7 linked regions of the Cricetulus griseus genome follow. Each later gene encodes a partner of the first gene's protein in a complex. Links are inferred from orthologs where the notes say so. Each region holds a gene or a part of one and is shown in the gene's direction. Other genes may lie near its edges. The genes, in order: Gnai3, Grm4, Casr, Rgs8, Rgs2, Rgs10 and Trpc5.

Evidence for each region.
Region 2: the proteins of Gnai3 (region 1) and Grm4 are in contact, whole or in part, in a cryo-EM structure (PDB 8JD6), measured with the Homo sapiens proteins. The link is inferred for Cricetulus griseus from reciprocal best matches to the Homo sapiens genes GNAI3 and GRM4. Residues at the interface, in NP_006487.1 of Homo sapiens: Ala31, Lys32, Val34, Lys192, Asp193, Leu194, Thr219, Phe336, Thr340, Ile343, Ile344, Asn347, Leu348, Cys351, Gly352, Leu353, Tyr354; in NP_000832.1 of Homo sapiens: Pro616, Lys619, Ala620, Gly622, Arg623, Glu624, Arg676, Ile677, Ile680, Phe681, Gln683, Gly684, Lys685, Arg686, Ser687, Val688, Ser689, Ala690, Ile694, Ser695, Pro696, Phe781.
Region 3: the proteins of Gnai3 (region 1) and Casr are in contact, whole or in part, in a cryo-EM structure (PDB 8SZH), measured with the Homo sapiens proteins. The link is inferred for Cricetulus griseus from reciprocal best matches to the Homo sapiens genes GNAI3 and CASR. Residues at the interface, in NP_006487.1 of Homo sapiens: Ala31, Lys32, Gln304, Glu308, Lys314, Asp315, Thr316, Lys317, Glu318, Ile319, Tyr320, Thr321, Phe334, Asp337, Ala338, Thr340, Asp341, Ile343, Ile344, Lys345, Asn347, Leu348, Glu350, Cys351, Gly352, Leu353, Tyr354; in NP_000379.3 of Homo sapiens: Lys644, Ala645, Asn647, Arg701, Val702, Val705, Phe706, Ala708, Lys709, Pro711, Thr712, Arg716, Trp719, Phe801, Ile869, Val872, Arg873, Thr876, Ala877, Ala880, Phe881, Lys882, Val883, Ala884, Ala885, Arg886.
Region 4: the proteins of Gnai3 (region 1) and Rgs8 are in contact, whole or in part, in a crystal structure (PDB 2ODE), measured with the Homo sapiens proteins. The link is inferred for Cricetulus griseus from reciprocal best matches to the Homo sapiens genes GNAI3 and RGS8. Residues at the interface, in NP_006487.1 of Homo sapiens: Glu65, Gln68, Ser75, Val179, Lys180, Thr181, Thr182, Gly183, Ile184, Val185, Gln204, Ser206, Glu207, Lys209, Lys210, His213, Ala235, Glu236, Asp237, Glu238; in NP_001095920.1 of Homo sapiens: Thr76, Glu77, Phe78, Ser79, Glu81, Asn82, Ala117, Pro118, Glu120, Val121, Asn122, Ile123, Asp124, Phe125, Gln126, Arg128, Leu153, Lys156, Asp157, Ser158, Arg161, Arg164.
Region 5: the proteins of Gnai3 (region 1) and Rgs2 are in contact, whole or in part, in a crystal structure (PDB 2V4Z), measured with the Homo sapiens proteins. The link is inferred for Cricetulus griseus from reciprocal best matches to the Homo sapiens genes GNAI3 and RGS2. Residues at the interface, in NP_006487.1 of Homo sapiens: Val179, Lys180, Thr181, Thr182, Gly183, Ile184, Val185, Gln204, Ser206, Glu207, Lys209, Lys210, His213, Ala235, Glu236, Asp237, Glu238; in NP_002914.1 of Homo sapiens: Glu104, Phe105, Glu108, Asn109, Glu143, Ala144, Pro145, Glu147, Ile148, Asn149, Asp151, Phe152, Leu180, Asn183, Ser185, Arg188.
Region 6: the proteins of Gnai3 (region 1) and Rgs10 are in contact, whole or in part, in a crystal structure (PDB 2IHB), measured with the Homo sapiens proteins. The link is inferred for Cricetulus griseus from reciprocal best matches to the Homo sapiens genes GNAI3 and RGS10. Residues at the interface, in NP_006487.1 of Homo sapiens: Val71, Val72, Ser75, Glu115, Val179, Lys180, Thr181, Thr182, Gly183, Ile184, Val185, Gln204, Ser206, Glu207, Lys209, Lys210, His213, Ala235, Glu236; in NP_001005339.1 of Homo sapiens: Glu62, Phe63, Ser64, Glu66, Asn67, Ala102, Ser103, Ser104, Gln105, Val106, Asn107, Val108, Glu109, Gly110, Leu137, Lys139, Tyr140, Asp141, Ser142, Arg145.
Region 7: the proteins of Gnai3 (region 1) and Trpc5 are in contact, whole or in part, in a cryo-EM structure (PDB 8GVX), measured with the Homo sapiens proteins. The link is inferred for Cricetulus griseus from reciprocal best matches to the Homo sapiens genes GNAI3 and TRPC5. Residues at the interface, in NP_006487.1 of Homo sapiens: Arg205, Arg208, Lys209, Trp211, Ile212, His213, Phe215, Glu216, Glu245, Leu249, Ser252, Asn256, Lys257, Trp258, Arg312; in NP_036603.1 of Homo sapiens: Thr27, Glu32, Glu33, Glu56, Ile57, Tyr58, Tyr59, Asn60, Lys125, Pro128, Thr129, Leu130, Met131.

The regions. Positions count from the first base shown.
Region 1 is NW_023276806.1:49,009,574-49,013,073, forward strand, and holds part of Gnai3 (guanine nucleotide-binding protein G(i) subunit alpha), read left to right. Parts: intron 1-3,025; coding exon 3,026-3,068; intron 3,069-3,171; coding exon 3,172-3,313; intron 3,314-3,500. UniProt on the Homo sapiens protein: Heterotrimeric guanine nucleotide-binding proteins (G proteins) function as transducers downstream of G protein-coupled receptors (GPCRs) in numerous signaling cascades.
Region 2 is NW_023276806.1:232,654,377-232,658,375, reverse strand, and holds the start of Grm4 (metabotropic glutamate receptor 4), read left to right. Parts: upstream 1-1,199; coding exon 1,200-1,718; intron 1,719-3,999.
Region 3 is NC_048597.1:53,509,209-53,512,708, forward strand, and holds part of Casr (extracellular calcium-sensing receptor), read left to right. Parts: intron 1-2,453; coding exon 2,454-2,686; intron 2,687-3,500. UniProt on the Homo sapiens protein: G-protein-coupled receptor that senses changes in the extracellular concentration of calcium ions and plays a key role in maintaining calcium homeostasis.
Region 4 is NC_048598.1:38,008,659-38,012,158, reverse strand, and holds part of Rgs8 (regulator of G-protein signaling 8), read left to right. Parts: intron 1-1,751; coding exon 1,752-1,918; intron 1,919-3,422; coding exon 3,423-3,500. UniProt on the Homo sapiens protein: Regulates G protein-coupled receptor signaling cascades, including signaling via muscarinic acetylcholine receptor CHRM2 and dopamine receptor DRD2.
Region 5 is NC_048598.1:46,447,451-46,451,512, forward strand, and holds the start of Rgs2 (regulator of G-protein signaling 2), read left to right. Parts: upstream 1-1,262; 5' UTR 1,263-1,311; coding exon 1,312-1,421; intron 1,422-2,434; coding exon 2,435-2,536; intron 2,537-2,644; coding exon 2,645-2,706; intron 2,707-3,281; coding exon 3,282-3,448; intron 3,449-3,705; coding exon 3,706-3,900; 3' UTR 3,901-4,062. UniProt on the Homo sapiens protein: Regulates G protein-coupled receptor signaling cascades. Inhibits signal transduction by increasing the GTPase activity of G protein alpha subunits, thereby driving them into their inactive GDP-bound form.
Region 6 is NC_048596.1:72,430,592-72,432,879, forward strand, and holds the end of Rgs10 (regulator of G-protein signaling 10), read left to right. Parts: intron 1-1,328; coding exon 1,329-1,475; 3' UTR 1,476-1,788; downstream 1,789-2,288. UniProt on the Homo sapiens protein: Regulates G protein-coupled receptor signaling cascades, including signaling downstream of the muscarinic acetylcholine receptor CHRM2.
Region 7 is NC_048604.1:36,233,620-36,237,774, forward strand, and holds the start of Trpc5 (short transient receptor potential channel 5), read left to right. Parts: upstream 1-1,355; coding exon 1,356-1,733; intron 1,734-4,155. UniProt on the Homo sapiens protein: Forms a receptor-activated non-selective calcium permeant cation channel. Mediates calcium-dependent phosphatidylserine externalization and apoptosis in neurons via its association with PLSCR1.

The DNA.
Region 1 (3,500 bases):
AGTGCATTATCTTGCATATTAAATGCACATTTGTGTTGGGCCATGGTGGTGCCCACACCTTTAGTCCCAGTATTCAGGAAGCAGAGGCAGTCGGATCTCTTTGAGTTCAAGTCCAGCCTGTTTTACAGAGTGAGTTCCAGGACATTCAGAGCTGTTACAGAGAGAAACCCTGTCTTGAAAAGCGCCCCCCCCCAAAAAAAACCCAACACATTTGTTGAATATTTATTTGATTAATTATTTGGCTAATTGCTATCAGGCCCAGTTGGGGCCCCTGGGAATACAGGGAAGAACAGCTTGGCAGAGCTTTTAGTGGGGAGATGAGAAAAGTAAGTCTGTTGTGAAGACACATGCTGTGAAGAAATGAGATGCTGCGGGGTGGGAGGTATTCAGGTAATTTCATCAGGAAATGTTCTGAGGGGAGCAGAAATGTGAGTGAAGAAGAAAATCTTGCAAAAATTGTTTCAGTCCAAGGGAACAGCAACTGGAAACTGTGAGTCAGAGTCTAGGCTAGTAAGAACCAGTTTTGCATGTTAGAGGAAACATGAAGAAGCTGGCTTGACAAGAGTGTTGAGGATAGAGTGGAGACAGACCAGAAATGAGGGTGAGGAGGTAGGCAGCGACCAGAGTACATTGGACCTTATTGCCCACATGTTATAATTTGGGTGTAAATAGAGGTCATGAGGCAACTCTTGTCAGTGTTGTGACATGATCCAGACAGGCATGCTATACATTTGTGATCCCACAAAGAGTTCAAGGCCAGCTTGGTCTACAGAGAGAGTTCCAGGACAGCCAAGACTACACAAAGAAACCCTGTCTTGAAAAACCTGTTTGTCCCTGCTTATATTCTGATTCTGCCCAACTATGTCACCTCCTGTCTAGCCAATCAGCCAATCAGTGTTTTATTCATTAACCAATAAGAGAAACATATGTACAGAAGAGCATTCCCCATCATTCCTTGGCAGGTTTTGTTTTTGTTTTTTTAAGATGTATTTATTATGTATGCAGTGTTCTGCCTACAGGCCAGAAGAGGGTACCAGATCTCATTATAGATGGTTGTGAACCACCATGTGGTTGCTGGGAATTGAACAGGACCTCTGGAAGAGCAGCCAGCGCTCTTAACCTCTGAGCCATCTCTCCATCCCTGCTTGCCAGTTTTGACCTTAGCGAGTTAGTTAAATGTTAGTACCATTTACTGGGATGACAAGACTAATGGAAAAGCAGCTTTGTTTGAGCTAGACATGGGGACTGAGTAACTGTCAGTATTGGGCATTAAGTTTGAGATGCTTATGGGATATCTACTGTGATATATAAGGTAGGTGATGAATTTAAAGCCAGATTTGGAAAGTAAGATTGGAGGTCTTTGGGAATCTAGCACATTCCAGCTTTGAAGTGAAACTGAGTGGAAATACTTATTTGCCAACTGCTATATAACTGTGGACAATTTCCCTGACCTTTCTGCTTCATGTATCTTATTATAAAATGAGGGTAATAGTGTCTACCTTACAGAGGTGTGAGGATTGGATGAGTTAATATTAGCAACATACATAGAACATCCTAATGTGTGCTGCTCTTTGGAGGTTAACTTTTATTCATGAATAGTGCTTCAAACCATCAAATTAGATAAGATAGGAAAAAAGACAAGGATCAACTTGGAAAATGCAGATTTGAAAGGCAGAGTTAGGCCTAGAAATGATCAATTAGCTTGCCAAAGGGTGCAAGTGGCTTGGGGACCTTGAGAAATAGTTTCAGGAGAGTGGGAATGACTTGGAGGTACTTAATTGGAGATTTTAAGTATAGATGACACACTGGGGAAATTTTGCTATAAAGAGACACAAAGAGGGGTAGCCAAGATAGCTGCTCTGTGAGTAGAGTTGCTTGTTTTTAAGTCTGAAAACCTGAATTGATCCCTGGGATACTCATGAGGAAGGAGAGAACTAACTCCTGTAGGTTGCCCTCTGACCTCCATGTATGTTCTGTCATTTGTGTTGTTGTTCCCACCCCCCAACCCCCATAAATGAGTTAATGTAATAGAGCCTTTAAAAAAGAGGCACAGGGAAGATGGAGTAGTAGAAAGGAAAATAGGTGTCGGGGGAGGGTCAGAGAAAGGTAGGGCTGGGATATGTATAATGGTTTGTGTACTAAGACTGACATAGTAAGAGGAGGAAAAACAGTGACATTTCAGTGATATTGGACACTCCGGCAGCCACAGGTGAGGGGAAAAGAAGTTGATAAGTAAATAAGTAGAGCTGTAAGAACATTGAAGAGACAGCTCATCCATTGATGAAGTAGAGAATAGTAATGGAGATACAGGTAGATTAGTAGATTTGGTTATGGAAAAATGAGGTAATGTTCTCTGGTTGCCTTTTTCTAAAAAGGAGGGAGCAGGGTTGTCATTTATGAATCAGAAGTAGCCTTTGATGATAGAGAAATGTGGTAGCGTTTTAAGAGGCATTTTGGAAGATGGACGAATTATTGAGCACGGAGGATCTGGCAGGCAGACTGTCAAGATCTGAAAATTATTTGACCTTTGATCTTTAGCCTAAGTGATTCCAGTTGACTAAGGAGGGTGATACAACCCTTCCGGGAAGAGGAGCTATATCATGAAAGGTAGAGGCAATGTTCTGCTGTTTGGAACCTTTCTAGCCCTGTGACTGAAAGGATTGCTTCTGGAACATTTCTTAGGTCCATTGGCAGGTCACAGAATTAGTAACTGTGACTAGGACATAGGCCAAAAATTCACAATTGCTCTTTTGCCTGTGTTCTTTGAGTATATCATGTTTTCTGATGTCACTGAAAATATTTGTGTTGTTGTCTTTGAGTGGTGTCTGTTTTGCACAAATGATACCAATATAAGAAAAGCAAAATGCTCTAGTTGAGAAACTCACAGTTTTCCTGATAGACATAAAAGCTCACCAAAATTTCACAGAACCTATGTTTTCTGTTAACTTAGGCTTACCAGTCACATGACTCTATACCTTTGACTACAGAGAAACTCAACATCTATTTTTGTTGTTTTTCTTTTCAGGTGCTGGAGAATCTGGTAAAAGTACCATTGTGAAACAGATGAAGTAAGTTCACACAGGGCCTGAATCTCTCCCTCTTTATAGAAAGTTCATAATGTTTTTGTTTTTTCATTCATAGTATTGACTTGTGGTTTTCTTCTTTTTGAAGAATCATTCATGAGGATGGCTACTCAGAGGATGAATGTAAACAGTATAAAGTAGTTGTCTACAGCAATACTATTCAGTCCATCATTGCAATCATAAGAGCCATGGGACGGCTAAAGATTGATTTTGGGGAAGCTGCCAGAGCAGTAAGTATTTCTCATTTCCTCTTCACTTGCTGTTCTTTTGTAGATGTAGTTAAGCCAAATTTGCGTCAGGTTTTAGGGAACAAGAAGATAAGATGGTGTAAAATACTGTGTACTTATTTTTGAAGTGCTGGCTATCTGACTCAATAGATAGCAAGTTACTGCTACAGGCAGAGCCCTGGAAATGAGA
Region 2 (3,999 bases), about 180 Mb from region 1:
GTTTTCTCCTCTACCCTGCAGATAAATATTTAATCACAACAACAACAACAATGATGACAATAACGTAGAGGGGCTCAGGCTGCAACCCGAGCCCCACTAGGGCACAGAGTGGAGGGAGGGAGGCCAGAGGAGACCAGGAGACCGAGGCAGGGGGAGGGGCAGGAGGAAGGAACCCGGCTTCTCCCTCTGCTTGGGCGCTTCTATGGCTGGGGTGGACATGTGGAAGTGGGGGACCAGCTCTGAACCCCAGATCCCCACTTCTTCCTAGCCTTTGGCTTGCAGCTCCTGGCCTGGGCCCAGTCAGCACCCCAGCCTTCTTGGGCAGGCTGCTATCCTCCTGGACTCTGGGTCCCTCAAGACTGGGTGCCACAAACAGTGGGTTCCCCAAACAGCTGTTTCTTGTTCAGAGCTAGGGTGGGAAGTATCTGTGGAACTTGGCATAGACTTCTGCTGGGGCTTCAGTTTCCTGTTTCTATCATGAGGCTGGACTGGCAGGATTGGTGTTTTGCTATAGCTTCTCAAGGCATGCTGAGGGGCCCATTCCTCCCCAGCCATGCTGGCTGTCCCTAGGAGTCCTCTCTCAGAGGCCTGGCCTGTGAGGGCAATGGGTCCAGGCCAGCGGAGGTCTTTAAACATGACCCAGTTTCTGTTCCCAGCTCTGCATTTCCTCAGGAGCTGGGCCACAGCAGTGAAAATCAAGTAGAGATTTATGGCGTCTTTGGCGATAACCTCTGGGCTCCCTCTCCCAGGCTCCTGATGAGGAGTCAGAATAGTAAATGTCTTCTTCAGGCTGGGTTGATAGTCTCTCTCTCTCTCTCTTTTCCAGGTTGGTAGCAGTGATTGGAGCTGTTTTCTCCTCGATGCAAAGATCATGCCAGGATAGGAGCTCACCTCCCTTTCCACAGCCAGACACGGCAATCTGGCCTGCAGGACATGGGGACAAGGATCTGAGACCTCCTGTAGCTCTGGCCACTTTCTGTCGTCTGTGGATTTGGCCTGTGTGGGCCACTGAGCACTGAGCTCTGTTCAAGTATCAACAAAGAACAGGGGAGAGCTGTGGAATGGGCCGGTCCGTTGGCCGTCTCCAGCCACCCTGCTGCTGAAGCTGCCCTGCTCATGTGTACACAGGCCGTGGGACCCAGGGCCTGCTCAGGCTAGGAGTGGGGCCCATTATTCATGGGTCTCTAGGCCTTTTCGAAATGTCTGGGAAGGGAGGCTGGGGCTGGTGGTGGGCCCGGCTGCCCCTCTGCCTTCTCCTTAGCCTTTGTGGCCCCTGGGTGCCTTCATCCCTAGGGAAGCCCAAGGGCCACCCCCACATGAACTCTATCCGAATTGACGGGGACATCACGCTGGGGGGCCTGTTTCCTGTCCATGGCCGCGGCTCCGAGGGTAAAGCCTGTGGGGAGCTGAAGAAGGAGAAGGGTATCCACCGGCTGGAGGCCATGCTCTTCGCTTTGGATCGCATCAACAACGATCCGGACCTACTGCCCAACATCACGCTGGGTGCCCGCATTCTGGACACCTGCTCCAGGGACACCCATGCCCTGGAGCAGTCCCTGACCTTTGTGCAGGCGCTCATCGAGAAGGACGGCACGGAGGTCCGCTGTGGCAGCGGTGGCCCACCCATCATCACCAAGCCTGAGAGAGTGGTGGGTGTCATTGGAGCTTCAGGGAGCTCCGTCTCAATCATGGTGGCCAACATCCTCCGCCTCTTCAAGGTTAGTGCCCTCCATGGCCCAGGGCTCCTGGCCGGCGACTCCTTCCTCCTCCTCCTCTTCCTGATTGTGTGGGAGACTGTATGAGAACGGAGGCCACCCTCTTGGCTCTGGGGCCGGATCCAGTGTTTGAAGCTTGGGCGGGGCTGAGAGAAGTGAGGGTGGGGCTGAGACATAGGACTTGGTGCTGACCATGGTTCTGAGGCAGCGTCTGCCTTAGCTCCTCCTTCAGACCCTGAGCCTGGAGGGGGTTGGAAGTGTGAAGGAACATAAGAGAGAGGCAGACAGACAGATGGAAGACAGCTGGATCGATGGAAGGGCAGACAGACAAAATATAGAATGGAAACCACAGTGTTGCAGATTGCCAGGGGGATAAAGCGAGACTTTTGTTTTGACATTGTTTTCAAATAATTGCAATTCCCAAGAAAGATGTGTTTTTTTTTTTTTTTTCTGGTTAGTTGAGGAAGGCCCTGGTGGCCCTCTCATCCCGCCCTTCAGTTCTGGCTGGAGAAGAGTGTCCTGGTTTTCAGATGGGGGTGGGATTGTGGGTCCAGGGGCATGAAGAGAGGAAGAGGGAGCCAGCTAATTCAGCCTTAGCCTGGTTACCTGAACCTAGCCCTGGCCTCCCTCCCACCCTCCCCTCTGCCCTTGCCCTCTGCCCTCTGCCCTCTGCCCTCCTCCTTTACGACTTTCTCCTGTTCCTTCCCAGCCCCTCCCTGCCCCCTCCACCACCTCCCTTCTTCTCTTCCCGGGGCAAGAGCTGCTGATTTGCAATTCAATTGGAGCCAAGTGCTTGCTAAGCTGCTAAAACAACTGAAAGCTACTGGGGAGAGGGAAGAAACGGTACAAGCCTTTTACCAACAATCATGTCCCTGCTCCCCACCCCCACGCCTGCCTCTCTTGCTCTGTCTGTGAGCGGGAGGAAGAGGACACTGGTCCCCTCTAAGTCTTTCCTCTGGGTCCTTTTGTCCTGGTCTCCAGAGCTTGCTGAGGCCTGGGAAAGGCTGTTTGGACCACTTGGGGTGGGAGGAGAGGAAGCCAGTCCCTCTCATCCTGAGCTCATCTGTCTAACTCTGAAGACGGGCCAGCGCCCAGGATGCTGTGGTGCGTGTGCCTCCAGCAGGGGTGAATGGAGATGAAGCTCTCTGTTTGGCGGGATAGAATTTAGCCATGGCTAATCTCAGGCAACCCCTGCGGAGTGCATACCCTGCCCACATCTGCAGCCTTCATAAATGTGTGTGCACACGTGTGTGCGCCTGCTGTGGTCCCAGGGTGGCCTTTTCCTGAGCGGTTGGTTTGACTTGATTTGGGTGTAGGAGCAGCAGGAAGCTCTGAGGAGAAGACGCTCCGGCAGTGGGCATTTCAAGGAGTCCCTGGGGATCCCATTGTCCTGATCTCAGAGTACTGCATTGGAGTGAACAGCCTGCTTGGGTCCGCCCATGCCTCCAGCCTCACGGAGAAGCGGGGACAATGGGAAGACTGGGGCTGGCTGTCCCAGGCCTGTTCCACTGATGACTGGGACAGCTGAGTCATCTAGGCCCTGCCAGGCCTGGGAGGAAGGCAGCCTGGGCCACCCAACTGTGCTCCCAGTGATGTTGGCCCAGCCTCTAGCTCATAGCAATAGAGCCTTGTATGGTGCTCAAGAGTGAAGGGCCCTCCCAGTATCCACTTCACCTCTGGGATGGGGGAGCCACCGGCCCCCGACTTTCTGTGTGCTGAGCCCACAGAATGGCCTGTCTGGATGTTAGACTTCTAAGCACAATCTCAGGAGTACATGTATCTGGGGACAACGGGCTCAAAGCCCCCCGAGATGGGGGTAGCTGGTATTTCTGTGCTATTCCGCCCAAGGATGGGCACAGTTGGTATGATAGGAGCCAGGGCTCAGGCCTCAGGCCTCCTTGTTCCCTGTCCTGTTGGTCAGGTGTGAAGAGGTCTGGCTGCTTGGTCTGTGCCTGTGTGAACACAGGGATCAATGTGCATTGTGAGTGGGCAGCTGCATGGCCTGCTGGTCTGTAAAGAGAGGGAGGGCATCCAGAGGCCATGGTCTGTGCTCCCTAGGTCCTCTTAGTTAATGCTCTAAGCTGGGACTAGAGGCGTCTTCACTAATGAAACTGATAGAGATGAGAGCCTGGGCCAGAAGCTCAGCAGCCATTACAGAGGCAAGAAGGTTAACCTGGGGAGGGTGGGCAGGGCAAGCTCAGAACGAGAGATGGCTCTCCAGCTCTGGGGCATATGGGTGTCTGTCCCTGTGTGTGTGTGTGTGTGTGTGTGTGTGTGTCTGTCT
Region 3 (3,500 bases), on another chromosome or scaffold:
TAAGAGTATGTGCAAGGAGCTGGAGAGATGGCACAATGGATAAGCACACTTGATATGCAAGCATCAAAGGCCTGAGTTTGACTCCTAAAGCCTATGTAAATGCAGCCCGGGTGCCTGTTGCTCCCGAGCTGTGACAGCAGAACAAGGGGATTACTGGGATTTGCTGGCCTGAAATCAAACAGAACCAGATGTTCTTCTTGTGCCTCTGCGGCACGTACGCAAAGGCATATGCACATGCACACGCATGCATATACACCACATTCACACACAAAAGTCTTCTCTGTCAAGCCAGGTGGTGGGTGCGTACACCCTTAATCCCAGTACTCAGGAGCCAGAGGCAGAGGCAGAGGCAGATTTCTGTGAGTTCAAGGCCAGCCTGGTCTGTAGAGTGAGTTCCATGACAACCAAGACTACACAGAGAATCTCTCTCTCTCTCTCTCTCTCTCTCTCTCTCTCTCTCTCTCTCTCTCTCTGTCTTTCTGTCTGTCTGTGTCTGTGTCTGTGTGTGTGTGTGTCACACAAACACGCAGGAGCCTATGGAGACCAGAAGAAGGCGTTAAGGCATTGTATCTGCTGGAACTGAAGTTACAGGTAGTGGCAGCATCCTGTGGGTGCTGGGAACCGAACCTGGGTCCTCTGGAAGAGAAGTAAGCACTGTTAACTGCTGAGTCAGCTGTCTCTTCAGTCCCAGAAATTGTGTCTTTTAAAAAATTTAGTCGGAGCCGGGCGGTGGTGGAGCACGCCTTTAATCCCAGCACACGGGAGGCAGAGGCAGGAGGATCTCTGTGAGTTTGAGACCACCCTGGTCTGCAAGAGCTAGTTCCAGGACAGCCTCCAAAGCCACAGGGAAACCCTGTCTCGAAAAATAAAATAAAAAAAAAATTATTCGGCCATTTTGTTGTTATGTGTTTGGTTTCAGGAGGTGGGCTATAGAACCTAGATTTTAATTTTTTTGTCTGAATCTGCTTGATTTAGTCCAGTTTCACTGGATATCCAGCATGACATTGACTAGACATAGTGGTGACGGACATACTTGTCTTATTCATGACCTTATGGGGAAAGCATTCAGTAACCCAGTGCCTAAGGAAGAAGAGGTTGTTTGAGCAAACTGTGGGTGTAGCATTTCTAGGAACAGAGCCACCAGTACTTCATTTCTCTTTGTAGCCAAATAGTATCCCATTGTAAGGAGGTGTTTTATTCATCTACTCGTTCAAATGATGGACATTCAGATTCTTTCCACTTTGGATCATTATAGTACTGTTGCTATGGACATTTGCACGCACATGAGTTTTTTATATGACATATTTAATTCATTAAATCCGAGTGTAGCACTACCGAATTGAACAGCAACTCTGTATTAACTTTTTGTTAAACTGCAACAAGTTTTTCCAAAATCAAGTCAAAAAGTCAGCGCTCAGGCTGAAAGAGGCACTTTAGCTGCCCCAGCCTGCCCTCACTGTACCTCAGGCAGGAAAGTGGGATCCAAAAGGGACAGGGAGAAGGGCTCCTGGGGTGGTGGAGAAATGAGTGTGCCATACCCATGATGGAACCTGTCTTCTCACCTGGTGCCTCAGCGCTGTAGAACCCAGGCTTAGCAGAGCATAGCACTTGCTTACAAGCATGGGCTCAGGATCCTGGACAGAGAACCTCAATTTTCTGTACTTCAGTTTCCCAATTAATAAAATGGGGAGTATAACCAGGCATAGTGGCACGTGCCTTTAATCCCTGCACTCAGGAGGCAGAGATGGGCAGATCTTTTACATTCGAGATCAGCCCAGTCTACAAAGTGAGTTCCAGGCCAGCCAGAGTTACACAATGAGACTCTCAAAAAAAGAGAAAAAAAGGCATGGGAGGGGGTGTTCATGTCATTTTTGTGATTAAAAAACATAAAGCACTAAGAACCATAACACAAAGGCAGTAAAATGGTATTTAAAAATTTAAATAACTCACTGTATTAGCAATTACTATAGTTGCTTTTTGTAAAATGGCTCTGTGACCCTCTAAGACCTTAGATAAACTCAAGGATGCTCCATGACTGTCAACAGTGGGCTCCAGCCACAGTCTTTCTGTTTCTTCCTTCTACTCCACACTGAATTTTGGCAGTAAGACATCTCCACAGACTCAAAATCACAGGGACAACAAAATTCTCAGTCTTTCTCCTCTCCTTCCCCACACCCAGCTCAGGGCATGACGGGAAGGTGGTGGCTCCACAAGGTCACGATGCACCTACAGAGGTCTTCACTTGACTGTGGTCAGGGGAGATATATTCTTTTCTCCTCCCCATCTTCAAAAGAGTGTTCAGAATGTGCAAGCGCTCTAAGAAAAACTGGAGAAAGGCCACCTCTCGGTTTCAGGTTTCTTCCTTTGTGGGATGAAATACTGACAGAACACAACCAACATAGCCACTGGTGGCATTCCACGGCTCCTCTTCGTTCATCTCTGTTTCTCTTCAGGTCCTGAAGCACCTACGGCACCTCAACTTTACCAACAACATGGGGGAGCAGGTGGCATTCGATGAGTGTGGTGACCTGGTGGGGAACTACTCCATCATCAACTGGCACCTCTCCCCAGAGGACGGCTCCATCGTGTTCAGGGAAGTCGGGCATTACAACGTGAATGCAAAGAAGGGCGAGAGACTCTTCATCAATGAGGAGAAGATCCTATGGAGTGGGTTCTCCAGAGAGGTATGAGCAAAGCATGCCATGCTGCCACCACAGACCGGGGACCACTGGCTTCGGGGGCGGGGCTGGGATTCATCACCAGCTTCTAGGATAATGTCCTTTTCCTATGTTCCCCAGCTCTGAGTGTCCAGGCTTCCCATGAACTGCAAGAGTGTTTAGTGATGAGAGGAACCCTGGGAACCTGAGCTTCATGACTCAACTCTCTTTTGACTCCCTGGCTAGTCATTAAGTTTTCCAGGCTAAAACTTCCCCCAACCAGAGCAAAATATTTTTTGGCAAAAAAAAAAAAAAAAAAAAAAAAACTCTTAAGTCATTAGCTTGCAAGTGGCATTGAGGAAGACATCCTACCTACCCTGGGTAGGAGATTTAAATTTGAGATTGAAGGGACTTCTTTATAGATTGTCATAATGACCAGGAAGTAATAATGGCCTTCAATACTTGGGGTTCAGGGATGCTAAATGCCCAGCATGCATGGGACAGTCTTTCACAGTTTTTCCATCTAGCCCAATTTCCATTAACCATGCAGCAATGGAGCCCAAAACAGAGCTCTGTGATTTTAGAATGAGGGTATTCAAAAAGCTCCAGGCTGACCCATACACCAGAAGGGCCATTCATTCCATGACCAAGAGGAAGAAGCTTGTGACTGGGCCAGGTGTCCTACCCCGCATCACTGTATCTGAAAGACTGATTAATAACCCGAAGCCCATGACTTGGTGAAGATGCTCATTAAGGAAAGACATGTTGAAATGATGACCATCCAGTGGTTTTATGCTAATGTACTGGTTAACTTTTGTCAACTTGACACAGTGAGGACTATCT
Region 4 (3,500 bases), on another chromosome or scaffold:
GACATAGAATTAAAAAGTGCCAGGGTTTGAGAGATAGCTTAGTAGGTAAGACTGCTTTCTTTGCAAGGATGATGACCTGAGTACAAATCCCTAGCACTCATGTTACAGGCCCGGCCTGACTGCTCATGCCTGTAGCCTCTGAATTGGTGAAGAGAGACAGTTGATTCCTGAGAGCTTGTTGTCCTTAGGAATCAACTTAGGTAAAAGAAGCCTTCTGCTTCAGTGAGAGAGCCTCTCTCAAGACACCCCAGCCTCCTGTTCTGGACCCAGCACATCCATTCACATGTGTGTACACCGGCATACTCAGGTGTCACACACACACACACACACACACACACACACACACACACACACACACACACACGCAAAGAGAGATGGGTTTGTTGAACTAGGATTAGTTGTACCAGTCTGTCATCTCAGGCTTGAGCCTTGCTTGGGCTATGAAGTGAATTAAAGACCAGCAACAACATAGAAAGGATGAAAAATGCCACATACCTTGGCAGCAGAGCACTTGCATAGTATACGAGAGGATTGGGTTCACTGCCCAGTGCCAAAAATAGTAACATGAATTTTACAAAAGAAATAAAAATGGTCATTGAGCCATGTTTGTTCACCATTTTGGCACCTTATTCTTCACTTTGAGGACCCTTTCTAGGAAGCTGTCATTGTCATTCCAACAGAAGAGAGTGAGTCAAGAGTTAAAACAGTTGATTAAAACTTTTTCAAATAAAAGTGCAACTGGAAGTGCATGCTATAAATAGCTGTTATTTTCCTCCCCCGCTTATCTGTGTGGATGGAAAGCTTGGCAGGACATATGACATTGATTAGTAAGAGGAAAGGCTGGATTAGCCATTAGATAAATTGGCAGGAAAATTATACTCGACCTCAATTAAAGCCTATAACCTGGGTCAGCGACATGGTTTAGTAGGCAAATACACCAGTTACAAAGCTAGAGGGCCTGAGGGCCATCCCCAGGTCCCACATGGGAAGTAGAGAGCTGTCTCGTGCAAAGAACTGTGTCCTTTGACTCCCCCCACATAAACACACACACACACACACACACACACACACACACACACACACACACACTCGCACCCAAATAACTGTAACTTTAAAAATGTTTTAAAAATCTAATTTGATAGGCAAATTTCAAAGCAAAAATGAATAGACTAAAAAAACTGCCAAATACACATCCTCAAGGATTTCCTTAAAGACTCACAGAGTGCTATCTTATCCATGCAGCAGACTGAACTGAGTTTCTATTTGATGTGTTTCTGATAGCAGTAAAAGGTTGGCTCTGAGACATGTATACTCCTGTCCAGTTTGTCTTACAGCTGCCCATGTCTTCTCTCTGGTGTGGATTCCTTAGGGCAGAGAATGTATAGTGCCTATTAACTTGAGCAACACAGGCTTACCACCAGGCCTGGGGCTCAGCCAACTCTGCATCAACGGGCAGGCAGGCTTTATCAGAAGTGACCAAGTTTACCCACTGTTGTCATTATTATGGGATTTTAAACATTTCTCTTGGATATTCCACACTGGCCCTTGGACAAGAAGCTTTCTCTGAGGAGAGCTGTGTGTCGTGTGTGTGTGTGTGTGTGTGTGTGTGTGTGTGTGTGTGTGTGTGTGTGTGTGTAAAAGCAGCAGGCTTGGACAATGAGGACACCATCACAATAGGACTGTTTTTCCCGAAACAGCAGTCTTGGAATTAAGCCTTCTCTTCCTTCCTTTTCTCCCACCTCTTTCTGTAGATGGAGTGGCGGCCTTCCGTGCCTTCCTGAAGACAGAGTTCAGCGAGGAGAACCTGGAGTTCTGGCTAGCCTGCGAAGAGTTCAAGAAGACCCGGTCGACTGCAAAGCTGGTCTCCAAGGCCCACAGGATCTTTGAGGAGTTTGTGGATGTGCAGGCTCCACGGGAGGTGTGTTGGTCATGGAAACTGTCTCCTGAGGTCTTGGAGGGCATTTAAGCCAAGCCCCCAGGATTTCCTCCAATCCCAATGGGCCTCCCAACTGTGGTGGATCCTGATGAGAAAGGGTAGCTTTTGAGAAGTGGAAGATCCAGGTTTTCATGAAAGGAGATGCATTAGGAGTGGTTTCTGTCTGCCTGACACGTGTTACCGCAGTGGTTTCACAAGAGTACGTTCCCTGGAGCCCATGTCTGTTTTCCTATTCAAAGCAGTATGGGGGCCGCTGAATTGACTCATTGAGTAAAGGCACCTGCTGCCAAGCCTGATGACCTTAGTTTGATTTCTAGAACCCACATGATAAAAGGAGAGAAATTGTCCTCTGCACAGAAGCGTGCACACTCGTGTACACACACACACACACACACACACACACACACACACACACACACCCTAACAAACAAGCATGCAATAACTTAATGGAATAAGTACCCTCTTAAAGGATTTTGTTTGTAGTCTCAGTTCTGCCACTATGTGTGATCATCCTTAACTTATTCAAACTCTCTGAGTCTTATCTTCCCCAGTGTAAGATAGGATAATGCTACTTGCCTTTCAAGGCTACGCTGTGTTAGAGGTAAAGCACCTACTGAGTGTTTGCCACTGCTCATTAATGAATATCTACAGTCACTTTCATTGCTGTATTATAATTATGCATAGCTGTTCTGAGTTTTAATGCAGCATGTCCCTCTGGAGGCTTTAATTGATGAACAGTTTGCAATCTGTATTGAGGTTTGGCTTTGACTTGGGGTGTGAGACCTTTACAAACTTGGTAGAATGCTATTGGCCCCAAATGATGACACATAGAGAGATGTATGTTTACCAGGGTCTGTCTATACTGGGCATCCATTGGCCTTGGTGGTTAAGAAAGAATGAGATGGAAAACTTAGGGGAACCTTATTAATATCTGGCTGGAGACTCAGCTTAGTGTGGAATGAAGATTCTTGTTTAGGATTTGTTGACTTGAGGATTCTTGCCATGGTTCTGGTACTAATCCAACCTACTTTAGACAAGTTTTGTAGTATTTCTTTCTTTTCTATATTATTATTATTATTATTATCATCATCATCATCATCATCATCATCATCAAGAAATGGTCTCCTTTCATAATGCTGATTGTCCTGGAACTCACTCTGTGAACCGGGCTGGCCTTGAACTCACAGAGATCTGCCTGCCTCTGCCTCCTGAGCACTGGGATTAAAGGCGTGCGCCACCACGCCCTGCTGGTGTCGCTTTTCTTCACTTACCTTATTTACAATTTAAGACTACCTGGACTTCAGACTCCACAGCATTTCTGCTGGAATCCCCAGGAACGAACCCTGTAAAAGCAGTTTGAGAAGCATCCGTGACCCTAAAGATGTGAGATACTGCATTGATGGTTGTTCTGTAGCTTGGACCCACTATCCAGAAAGTGCCTTGGCCTTTGAGGGCCTGTGACCTTGCTCTCTCTTTGTATCTCCAGGTGAATATCGATTTCCAGACCCGAGAAGCCACAAGGAAGAACATGCAGGAACCATCCCTGACTTGTTTTGACCAAGCT
Region 5 (4,062 bases), on another chromosome or scaffold:
GTGACTTCAGACTTTGTTCCCCAATTCAAACCTGGAGCTCAGCTACCCGCAGCTTGTAGCAATGTATTGCCTCGTTCCAGTTTGAGGAATGTGCCTCTATTTTTCTTTTAGTAAGGTCTAGTGTGAAGCAGAATGACCATAACTTCGTTGTTAATCTATCTGCCCTGACTTCATGGGAAAACCACTTAGGTATTCCGCCGCATCACTCCCGTAACATAGGAAGCTGAATCAGTTTGTAGTTGAAGTCATGTATTTGTTCTTACAGATCAGGGCATTTTAAAACCTGCGGGAGTAGAGATGGGTTTCTGAAGAACTGACAAATGAAGCTTGTCCAAGCAAACTTTACACCTCCCGACTCTCACATCCAGCTCTAGCCTCACACCCCCACCCCTTAATTTAAGCAGGTGAATATCTGGCAAATTCTAAGCCTGCCCAACTAAGAATGACTCATTAGGAAATCCTGATTCCTTACACTCGGAAACTACAAACGATCCGAGTGTATCAGAACCGCAAGATCTCGGGTTTCCCTTTGTGTTTCTCTCTATCACTCAGATCTGTGCCGTGCCCGCCTAGAGACGCCCTTCAGATCTCCTGGGGAATGACCCTGCAACGTCACAGCCTTCTGCAGCCAGGCGTTTAAAGATCAAAAATGCAGAATCATTTAAAACACCGGGTTTTAATAGGCACTTTCTCCTTCTTCCTCCCTGACCAGCGTGCGTTCCCATAAGGAATTCCAAGATGCCTGAGCGAACAGAGAATCACAGTACTTAGCTCAGAAGCCCTTGTTTCGGGTTTCTCTAGTTGTTTAAGTCCTTCCCCGAAATAGGTGGAGTGTGGGTGGGGCGGTAGGGCTCTCCCCCTGCCCGCTGCAGTGTATAGGTGTCCCGGTGCATCTAAAAGATCGTGAACAAAGCATGAGTTGCAAAGGCGGGGCTCGAAAAAAGATAAAAGGAAAGGAAAAGGTACGGCCTTAAGGAAAAGTCACGAACTCGGGAACCCTGCACGGCTGGGGCCACCCGAACAAGCGAGCAGGGATCCCGCGCTGTCCCCGCCCTCCGCCTCCCCGCCTGTGTGCGCACGAGGCTGCGGCACCTACGTCAGCAGCGCCCTGGCTTCCAGACCCTTCGGCTGCCGCCGTGACTGCCGCAGGCCCGTGCGACCCCTCCCTCGCGCCGTCTGCAGCGGGCCAATCCGCACCCTCGAAAGGCGGAGCCGACGCCTCCGGGCCCCGCCCCTGTTCCGCAGCCGGCCTTAAAAGACCGCGGCGCGCGCCCGGCTGCAAACAGCTGCGGTGGCCGCCGGAGTCTTAGTATGCAAAGTGCCATGTTCCTGGCTGTCCAGCACGACTGCGTACCCATGGACAAGAGCGCAGGCAACGGCCCCAAGGTCGAGGAGAAGCGGGAGAAAATGAAGCGGACGCTGTGAGTATGCCCTCTCTTCCTGAGAGCTCTTACCCCGCATGGCTTTGCTGCTCGGGACCGACCTTCCTTCCATCTCGGCTTTGACTTGAGCTAACTCCGGTCTGCACCTCTGCAGAGAAAGCGGGGGGGCGGGGGGAAGAAAGAAGGAAAAGTCAGCTTGCTAGATCTCGTGGTTGTGCTTTTTTCTGTGTGAGCGTAGAGTTTCAACTATGGGAAGTTGTTAGGAAGGTGGCGGCGGTAGCTGGGCTGAGAAGGCGATGGCTGGCTTTTTGTTCTGCATGTAAGGTGACATGAGTATTCTGCAGCTGAATAGGATCCGCAGCGCCCATACATTGCATTGTGAGGTCTGAGCTGCTTACACAGCTGCTGGGTAATGTTTGGGATGATTCCGAATGTATTCGCTTTAGATACGGTTTTAAATCATAAAATAGGTCTCATCCAGTCACGACTGTGGAATGAGTAATTTGCTCTGCAGTATCTGCTGCGGAGAAGCACTGTGGGAGGTCGCGGAGGGGGAGCTCGGGACACACACACACACACACACACACACACACACACACACACACACACTCACACACCACACACCACACACACACACACACCCCACACACACACACCACACACACACACCCCTCTATGCACCGCCTGTATCTTGGACCAGACCCTCCTGCCTCTAGCACAGAAAGGGAAGGAACATCAGCTGGCTCAACACACGGCAGTTCTCAATCATTAATTGTCTCCAAGTTGTAGTTAACCATGCAGAAAAACCGCTACCTTTTTCGTAGGTCAGAAATAACTTGTGAAAATTTTAAATATCCTAGCTGTGTTATGTAGTCCTATGCTGGGTTCAATCCATGAGGTGCTGGGTTTAAATATCCCACATATGGCATGGACTGTTCTTGCCTGTCTGGTTTGTTTGGTGACTGACCATATGCTACTGCAACTGGTGATAATTTCACTATTCAAGAATTGCAGCTTGAAGTATTTTTTTCCTCTCCTTTTTTCTTTTCTAGCTTGAAGGATTGGAAGACCCGTTTGAGCTACTTCTTGCAAAATTCCTCCACTCCTGGGAAACCCAAAACTGGCAAGAAAAGCAAACAGCAAACTTTTATCAAGTAAGTTGCAACTCCTGTACTTGCAGAACAGAATGTCTAGCCATTGAACAGGAGAGGGGAACTATTATGTGTGGTTTATATAGCTCATGTTCGGAACTTCTCTTGCAGGCCTTCTCCTGAGGAAGCGCTGCTCTGGGCAGAAGCATTCGATGAACTGCTGGCCAGTAAATGTAAGTTAACCTCTTGAATTTGATCTTTCACCAGCATCCCAAGAGCCTAGAAATGTTGTGTCTACACCACAAATGAGCAGCTAGCAGGAAGTGCATCAGACATTAGCACCATTTACTTCATAAAGCCTGCTTTTCTTTCCCCTCGTCCTCCAGTTTAATCATGGAAAAGCATGAGGTATTCACTTCAGGAATAAAGTTAGCCTAACTTGTGAAAGTTAGGAAGAAAAATTAGCCTAAAAATTAAAACGACTTACTCATAGTTAGGGTTGAGTCAGCTTTTCCATTGCATAGAATATTTTCAAAAGCCCTAGTTCCCAGAGAACTAATGGATGACTGTCCTCTAAATATTTATTTTGCATTGACGGTGAAGTTCAGTATATTTTGTTGTCGTCGTTGCAGAATGCAAAGTTAAGCATTTTGCCTGCTGGCATCTTAGTGCTTAAAGAGCTAAAGTGTGAGAATGACAGGTTTGAGTGAAATCTAGAAAGCTGATCGATCATTCTAGTACTAAAAGAACCATGTGTTATCTGGTCACTCAATTTACATTCTACATGCTTGTTTTCCTGTGCTTTCAGATGGGCTTGCTGCATTCAGGGCGTTTTTAAAATCTGAGTTCTGTGAAGAAAATATTGAATTCTGGTTGGCTTGTGAAGACTTCAAAAAAACCAAGTCACCCCAAAAACTGTCCTCCAAAGCAAGAAAAATATATACTGACTTCATAGAAAAGGAAGCTCCCAAAGAGGTAAGAAAACAAGTTATTGGTGTCAGCATAATTTGGACATCTTCAACCCCATAGTGAAGCACAAGAATTGGATACACCAGTTAAAGTGCCAGTGGGAAGAGCTGGGGCTCCCCACCCCAGCTATCCTAGCATTTCAGTTTTTCCAATCTGACAGTGAGAACTGATCACATATTACATCTTTTGTGTTTTGTTATTAAGCATTGATTTATAATGTTGGATACCAAATAAATCAAGCTTTGTTTTATTTTTGGTTTCAGATAAACATAGACTTTCAAACAAAAACGCTGATTGCCCAAAATATCCAAGAGGCTACAAGTGGCTGTTTTACAACAGCCCAGAAGAGGGTATACAGCTTGATGGAGAACAATTCTTACCCTCGCTTCTTGGAGTCAGAATTCTACCAGGACTTGTGTAAAAAGCCACAGATCACCACGGAGCCCCATGCTACATGAGGCCAGGAGCCCCCAACAGAGGACATTTCATTGTCTCCCAAGACGAAAAGGCTGTGACCTGCCAAAAGACTGACCTTGAATTCAGCCTGGGTGTTAGGAAACATCACTCAGAACTATTGATTCAAAGTTGGGTAGTGGATCAGAAAGCCAGCAACCTAGGAC
Region 6 (2,288 bases), on another chromosome or scaffold:
CAAGGCACCTCCAGCCTTCCAAGTAGATGCCCTGAGGCCTCAGCCCCATGAGTGTTGGGAGAAGGCAGGTTTAAAGATGTCAGGATTTTGCCACCCACTTGGCAACCCCGCCTGACAGTGAATGGCATTCTGGAACTTTCCATTCAGCCAAGCCTGAGCTAGTGTTGTACAGCAAAGCACCTTGGTGTGCCTTGTGGCTCAGAGAGAGAGAGAGTACTCTACATCAGCAGGAAAATGTACCCTTCCTTCCTTTCCTTCTCCATGTTGTAGGGTCAGGGAAGGTGAGCAGGAGTGAATCGGGGATCCAGGGGGCGTGGCCCAGAGACAGCCTCCACAAAGCACATGTGGCATGCATAGGGCCAGCAGATGCAGCTCTTTCTAGTCCCCAGGACTCAGGCTCCATCACGGGTCCTTCTCAGTGTGCCTCACTGCCTTCTAGACACCTCTGCCTGTCCAGCTGTGCAGGGGTCTGCCCTGCTGCTGACTTCTCTGCTCTCTGCACCTGAGACAGGTCCTGCAGCCTCTCCTGATGGAGACTGAATGTGCACTCCCTCTCCTGCATGAGATATGCTCCCCTTGTCTCTCGGTGTGGTCATATGTTTGAGATCTCTAACACCAAACTTACTGGGTTTTAATATTTGGCTTTAAAAAGATTTTGTTATTGTTGTTTTTGAGACAAGGTCTCACGTAGCTCAAGCTGGAGTCACACTCACTGTGTAGCTGAGGCTGAGCTTGAACTTGAGTGCCGGGTTCACAGGCGTGTGCCACTGTTCCTAGCCAGCTGAGATTCTTAAAGGGCCATTTCAGGCTGTGTGTTTCTATACTTCCATGGAAAATAAAGATGTATTTGTGCATGTGTTCTCTAGTCTATAGAGTCCATTGAGACCATTACACGATGAACAAAAATGTCTAGGATGTCTGCCTTGTCCAGCACAGCCCTACCCTGGTGTTGTTCTTGTTATTATAATTAGTGTGTGATTGTGTGACGTGTGTGTCAGTGTGGGCATGTACATGCTATGGCCTGTATGTGGAGGACAACCTTTGGAAGTCAGTCTCTTGTTCTACTGTGATTCTTGGGGATGGAACACAGGTCATCAGGCTTGCGTAGCAAACACTCATTTGTAACTACTGAGCCATTTCATAGGTCCCATACTAGCATGCATTTGTGTGTGTGTGTGTGTGTGTGTGTGTGTGTGTGTGTGTGTGTGTGTGTGTGCTCACGCCAAGTGCACAAGGGTATTATTCTTTGGCCCTTGGTAGGTCTTTGACATGGTGACTCATGGTCTGAGTTGGCAGTAGCCCTCAGGCTCTCTCTCCTTCCCCTCTAGATCTTCAATCTCATGAAGTATGACAGCTACAGCCGATTCTTGAAGTCTGACTTGTTTTTGAAACACAACTGTACTGATGAAGAGGAAGAAGAGCCTCCCGACGCTCAAACCGCAGCTAAACGTGCTTCCAGAATTTACAACACATGAGCCCGAGAGCTAAGACCTTCACCACCACCACCACCACCACCCCCCATGGCGCAGAGGATGGACTCTTGGAACTGTGCAGGGCTGTCATTGCTTCGTTATGTTTGAGGACTGAAGTATGCAAGACCTCCCCACAAGATATGTGTATTTTATTAACGGTTTGACCAGTAAAGTAACTCCTGCATGTTAGCTAACCCTCCATTAAAAACAAAAGTAGCTTTAAAGTTTCCGTTCACAAAACAAATGCGATTTCTCCAATACTGGATACTCACAGCATTTTAAGCTTAATTAAATTCCCTGAGAGTCCACAAGTGAAGCCCTTAGCCGCTTCTGCTCTGTTAGCCTTCGCCTCATCTTTCTGGCCTGGGCTGTGCGCATCCAAGACTCTTGGTCTGACAAACACAAGAGTGGTGGGCATTGTTTGCTGATTGCTTTGGGGTTGGATTGTTCTGGAGAGAAGTCCAGTGCTGTCTAAAGCAGATCTCTGACAGCTGCGAAAGATTCAGGGAGTTGAATGACAGCTTTAGCAAAGGGCTGTTATTTCTCATATGGGTGGGGGGGGGGTGTGGGGAACGACTGGTCCCTTAATCCATGGCATTTCACGCAACACACACGCTTGAAGTTCATTTCCACGGAAACACTATTTTAGGCAAGGGGAAAAACAAAAGCGAAACCAGTCAGGGCTGGAGACTGCTCCCAGTTGTGTCCAGTGGGACCTCAGCATGAGATGTTGGGGTTAATGGGATGTTCCCCCTTTCCCTTCTACCGCCTAGGGTCAAATCAACCCCGCACCTTCTCCGGCCTTTCTTCATTTGT
Region 7 (4,155 bases), on another chromosome or scaffold:
AGTACAAGTAGTCAATGAGGAATGTGAAGAAATTTGATCTGTAAATCACAAAGCAAGAGCTCTCCCTTGTGATTCATTCTGTATGATTGCAGGCAAAGGTGCTTTTATTTTCTTGGTCTTCCAGAGAAAATGTAAACACAGTGCTGGAGCTCAGTAAAAATCTATTTAGTTTTCACTTTACAATCAGTTCTGTTAAGTGTGATCTGACCTTAGACCTGGCACAAACAAAACAGACCATTCATTTGTTGGAATTAAATCAAATTGATTCTCCAGTCTGATAGTTTCAGAGTCTGGAATGGTGGCAGAAAAAAATCAGAGGTGGCTTTAGGGAGTGAGTCCATGCTCATCTTTTGCGGATGGCTTTGGCTTGTTGGAGTCAATACTTCTCCAATGACCACTGCCAAGGAAGAGAGCTGCACTTAACACTAAACCATATATGAATGTATGTATGTATATAATATATATGTATATATACATATATATATATATATATATATTCCCTTTTGTCTTTTGTTAAATACATGGTCTCATTATCTTAGGTCAGCCTTGAACTCATTTTGTGGCCAAGGATGACCCTGAACTTCTGATTCTCCTTCCTCTGCCCTCTGAGTGTTGGGATTGCAGACATGCACATATCCAGCTCATGTGGAGCTAGGTATCCAGCATAGGGTTTTGTGGATGCTAGACAAGCATTCTACTACCTGAACTATATTCCTAGCTCCTAAAATAGTACTCCATTCTGAAATGTGCATCCAGAACAGTGGCAAATGTAAGCTTGAAATTTCGATTTTAAAAGACCCACAGACCCCAGAGCCCAAATGAATCTGGCCCTAAGCAAGGAGCAACTTAACACCACTAATCAGAAGTATTACCATGGGTACTTTCAGCAATGGAAGGGGAGGAAAATTTCAGTGTAAGCTGTGCTGTGTCTTAGGAGATTTGGTAATATATAACTCCTTTAACTATATAAGTAGCTTTTCAAAGTAGGAGTTATTCTCTAGCATGAGACTTGGTAAACACTAGATGACAACTTGCTAATGATATTAATATGAATAACCTTAGCAACAAATGTGGTAAAGGGTTTGATTAACTTGTGCAAGATCCCAGAGCCACTAAGTGTTAAATTAGTGTTCTAGCCCAAGTCATTGTGACTAAAGCTTGGGCTTTTGCTGCTCTGCTCCTCAGCAACAGGGAAACAACGTTGTCATTCAGATGCTTTGGGGTTTTGAAATCCCATTAGAAAGGGATTAGTAAATGGCCATTTGAAACCTTCAGGTAACTAAAATTTTCTTTCGTCTTCCTCTGTCTCTCTCTCTCTCTCTCTCCACACTTAGCTTTCTAAATTGCTATGAACCATGGCCCAGCTTTACTACAAAAAGGTCAATTACTCACCATACAGAGACCGCATCCCCCTCCAAATCGTGAGGGCTGAGACTGAGCTCTCTGCTGAAGAGAAGGCCTTCCTTAATGCCGTGGAGAAGGGGGATTATGCCACCGTGAAACAGGCACTGCAGGAGGCCGAGATCTACTACAATGTCAACATCAACTGCATGGATCCTTTGGGCAGGAGCGCCCTGCTCATTGCCATTGAGAACGAGAACCTAGAGATCATGGAGCTACTGCTGAACCACAGTGTGTATGTCGGCGATGCATTACTCTATGCCATCCGCAAGGAAGTGGTGGGCGCTGTGGAGCTTCTTCTTAGCTACAGAAAGCCCAGTGGAGAGAAGCAGGTAAGAGAATTCGCAATAGGCTGGAAGCAGCCACAATGTCAGGGCACCAGAGTTCCAAGGCAAGATTCAGCAGTCTGGAATCGAGAAGCCCTGACTTAGAAACTGTGATCAGTTGTCTCAGGAGCTTCCACCAGAGCTGCCCTGGATGGTCCCCGCCAGGTTACTCTTTTGCTTTGTCTTTTGTTCTTAGTTACTCAAATACATTCAATACTTAACAGTGCAAAGGCATGTTTGTCATGTTTAGACTATGCAAAATCTTGCCACTTTCTTTACCACCTCCCATTATATCTTCGTTTCCTTCCTTTACTCAAATGTTACACGATACAAAAGAGACCAAACCCAGACCTGCACTTTCTCCTGGGAGGCTTTTCTTCCACAGAAAAGACAAGAAGACTTTAGCCCCGAGTGCCATAGTGCAAACAAAACTAGAAACCTCCTTTATTTTTCTTAGTACACGCTATGTGACTGAATTTTCCTCATAGGTGTTTGTGGGTTTGCTTCTATGAGTCTCTTAGTCTCTAAGTCACAGAAACTTGGTATGTTTGATTTCTCAGTCAAATCTGGTGCCCATGTTCAACCCCTATGGTTTCTCCATCGCTCTCTGTTTCCTCTCTAAGCCCGTTAGCATTAGTATGGCCTGTTCTGTCATCACTCTCCTAAATAAGAGTTTCTCAAAGTGTGGCCTCTAGACTGGCAGCAGCAGCGTTTCCTGAGAACTTATGAAGGACGCAAAGTCTTAGTTCTCCACTACAATGGTACTCAATCATAAGCTCTGGGACGCTGCCCAACAAGCTGTGCCTTAACAGGCCTTCAAGGGGATTCTGATTCACACTCAGGTTTGAGAATCACTGTCCTACACTGTCATGAATTTTTTTTTCTCATTAGTCTCCCTGCATCAATTCTTTTTGCAGCTCTGAAGCCATTCTGAAGAGTCTGGCTGGCTTATCCTTTAGTACTACCATGTCCTCTATTAGTTTGTCTCCCATTGTTAGGAGAAAATGTTTGAGGTGATGGACTTTATAAAGCAGAGACTTGTTTTGCTCACTGTGTTTTAGAGGCCAGATACTCAAGATAAAGTGGCTTATCTAATAAACCTTTGATGAGGGCCTTCTTGCTTATATTAGCAACACGGTGAAGAAATGGAAATGGAGCTGGTCAAATATAGGAGACAAATCAGCATCTTGAGGAACATGGAGAGTGAAAACAGTCATCCTCAAGTATTATGAGATATGGCCAAAGCTGGGTTTGAAGGAAATCTTTAGCTTTCAATACTGACTCATTTAGGAAATGAGCAATGAAAATAAACTAAATGGCAACTCACAAAGTACTGGAATTGACAGACTGGAAAATGGAGTAAAAATCAGAAACTGGCAGATTAGCAGTTCCTTGAGGAAAACGCCTAAATCCCCTTCCCCATCAGCTTGTACAGTACCCAAGAAAGTAAAGATCCCATCTCTCTTGCTCCTTGCTATCTCACACTACCAGCACAAAGTACCTGATAATTTTTTATTTCATGAATAAGTAATATGCCACCATCACTGGCTTTGCATCTTAACATGACTTACTCCATTTAAACCTCCAGGGAACTCTATAAGCTAGATATTATTATTCTTTATTGCTATTGTTAGTATTATTGTTGTCATCATCATCATCCCTGTTTGCCGTTGAGAAATGGGATTGTTAAATTGCTCTTTTAAGATCATATTAGAGCTGGAGTTCAAGCTCCTAATCCTTTTTAATCACTAGGATCTGATCACACAACTGAATCAGGCTGTTGCAAAAAGTTTGGCACCAAAGGCTGGAGAGCTGGATCATTAAGAACATGTATTGCTCTAGCAGAGGACCTGAGTTCAATACCCAGCACCTAAGCTGGGTGTTTTGTAACCACCTATTACTCAGTTCCAGGATAGTCTATGCCTTTTTTTTTTTTTTTTTTTGGTCTCCACAAGTACCTTCGCTCACATACACAGACACAGAGACACACAAACACACAAAATTAGAAATAATAACATTGGTCTTTTAAATGTCAGCAACATTAAAAGGCATCTGAATGCACAACAATCAAAACTTCATTCAGACTCGCCACATGCAGTGAATCTCAGTTGTTTCTGGCAACGATAATTCTTGATGTCTCTATCACACAGCCTCATTGCAGCCTTGGTTCTGAACACTCAATACGCACCATTTACATTGCACACACTAGCACTGTACACAATGTCAATGACACGTCTCAGCTTGGATTTGAGAAGATTGACTGATATGAACTGCAGTGATTTTATTTTACATACCAAGAGTTATGTTATTGTAGAAACATGATGATATAGTTATGGAAAACAAAGACTCTTAATAGTATTTTTCTTATAATCCCTCAGCATGTTAAGTATTAAATTAGTATATCTTGGGATTAGATTGCTAGAATGTT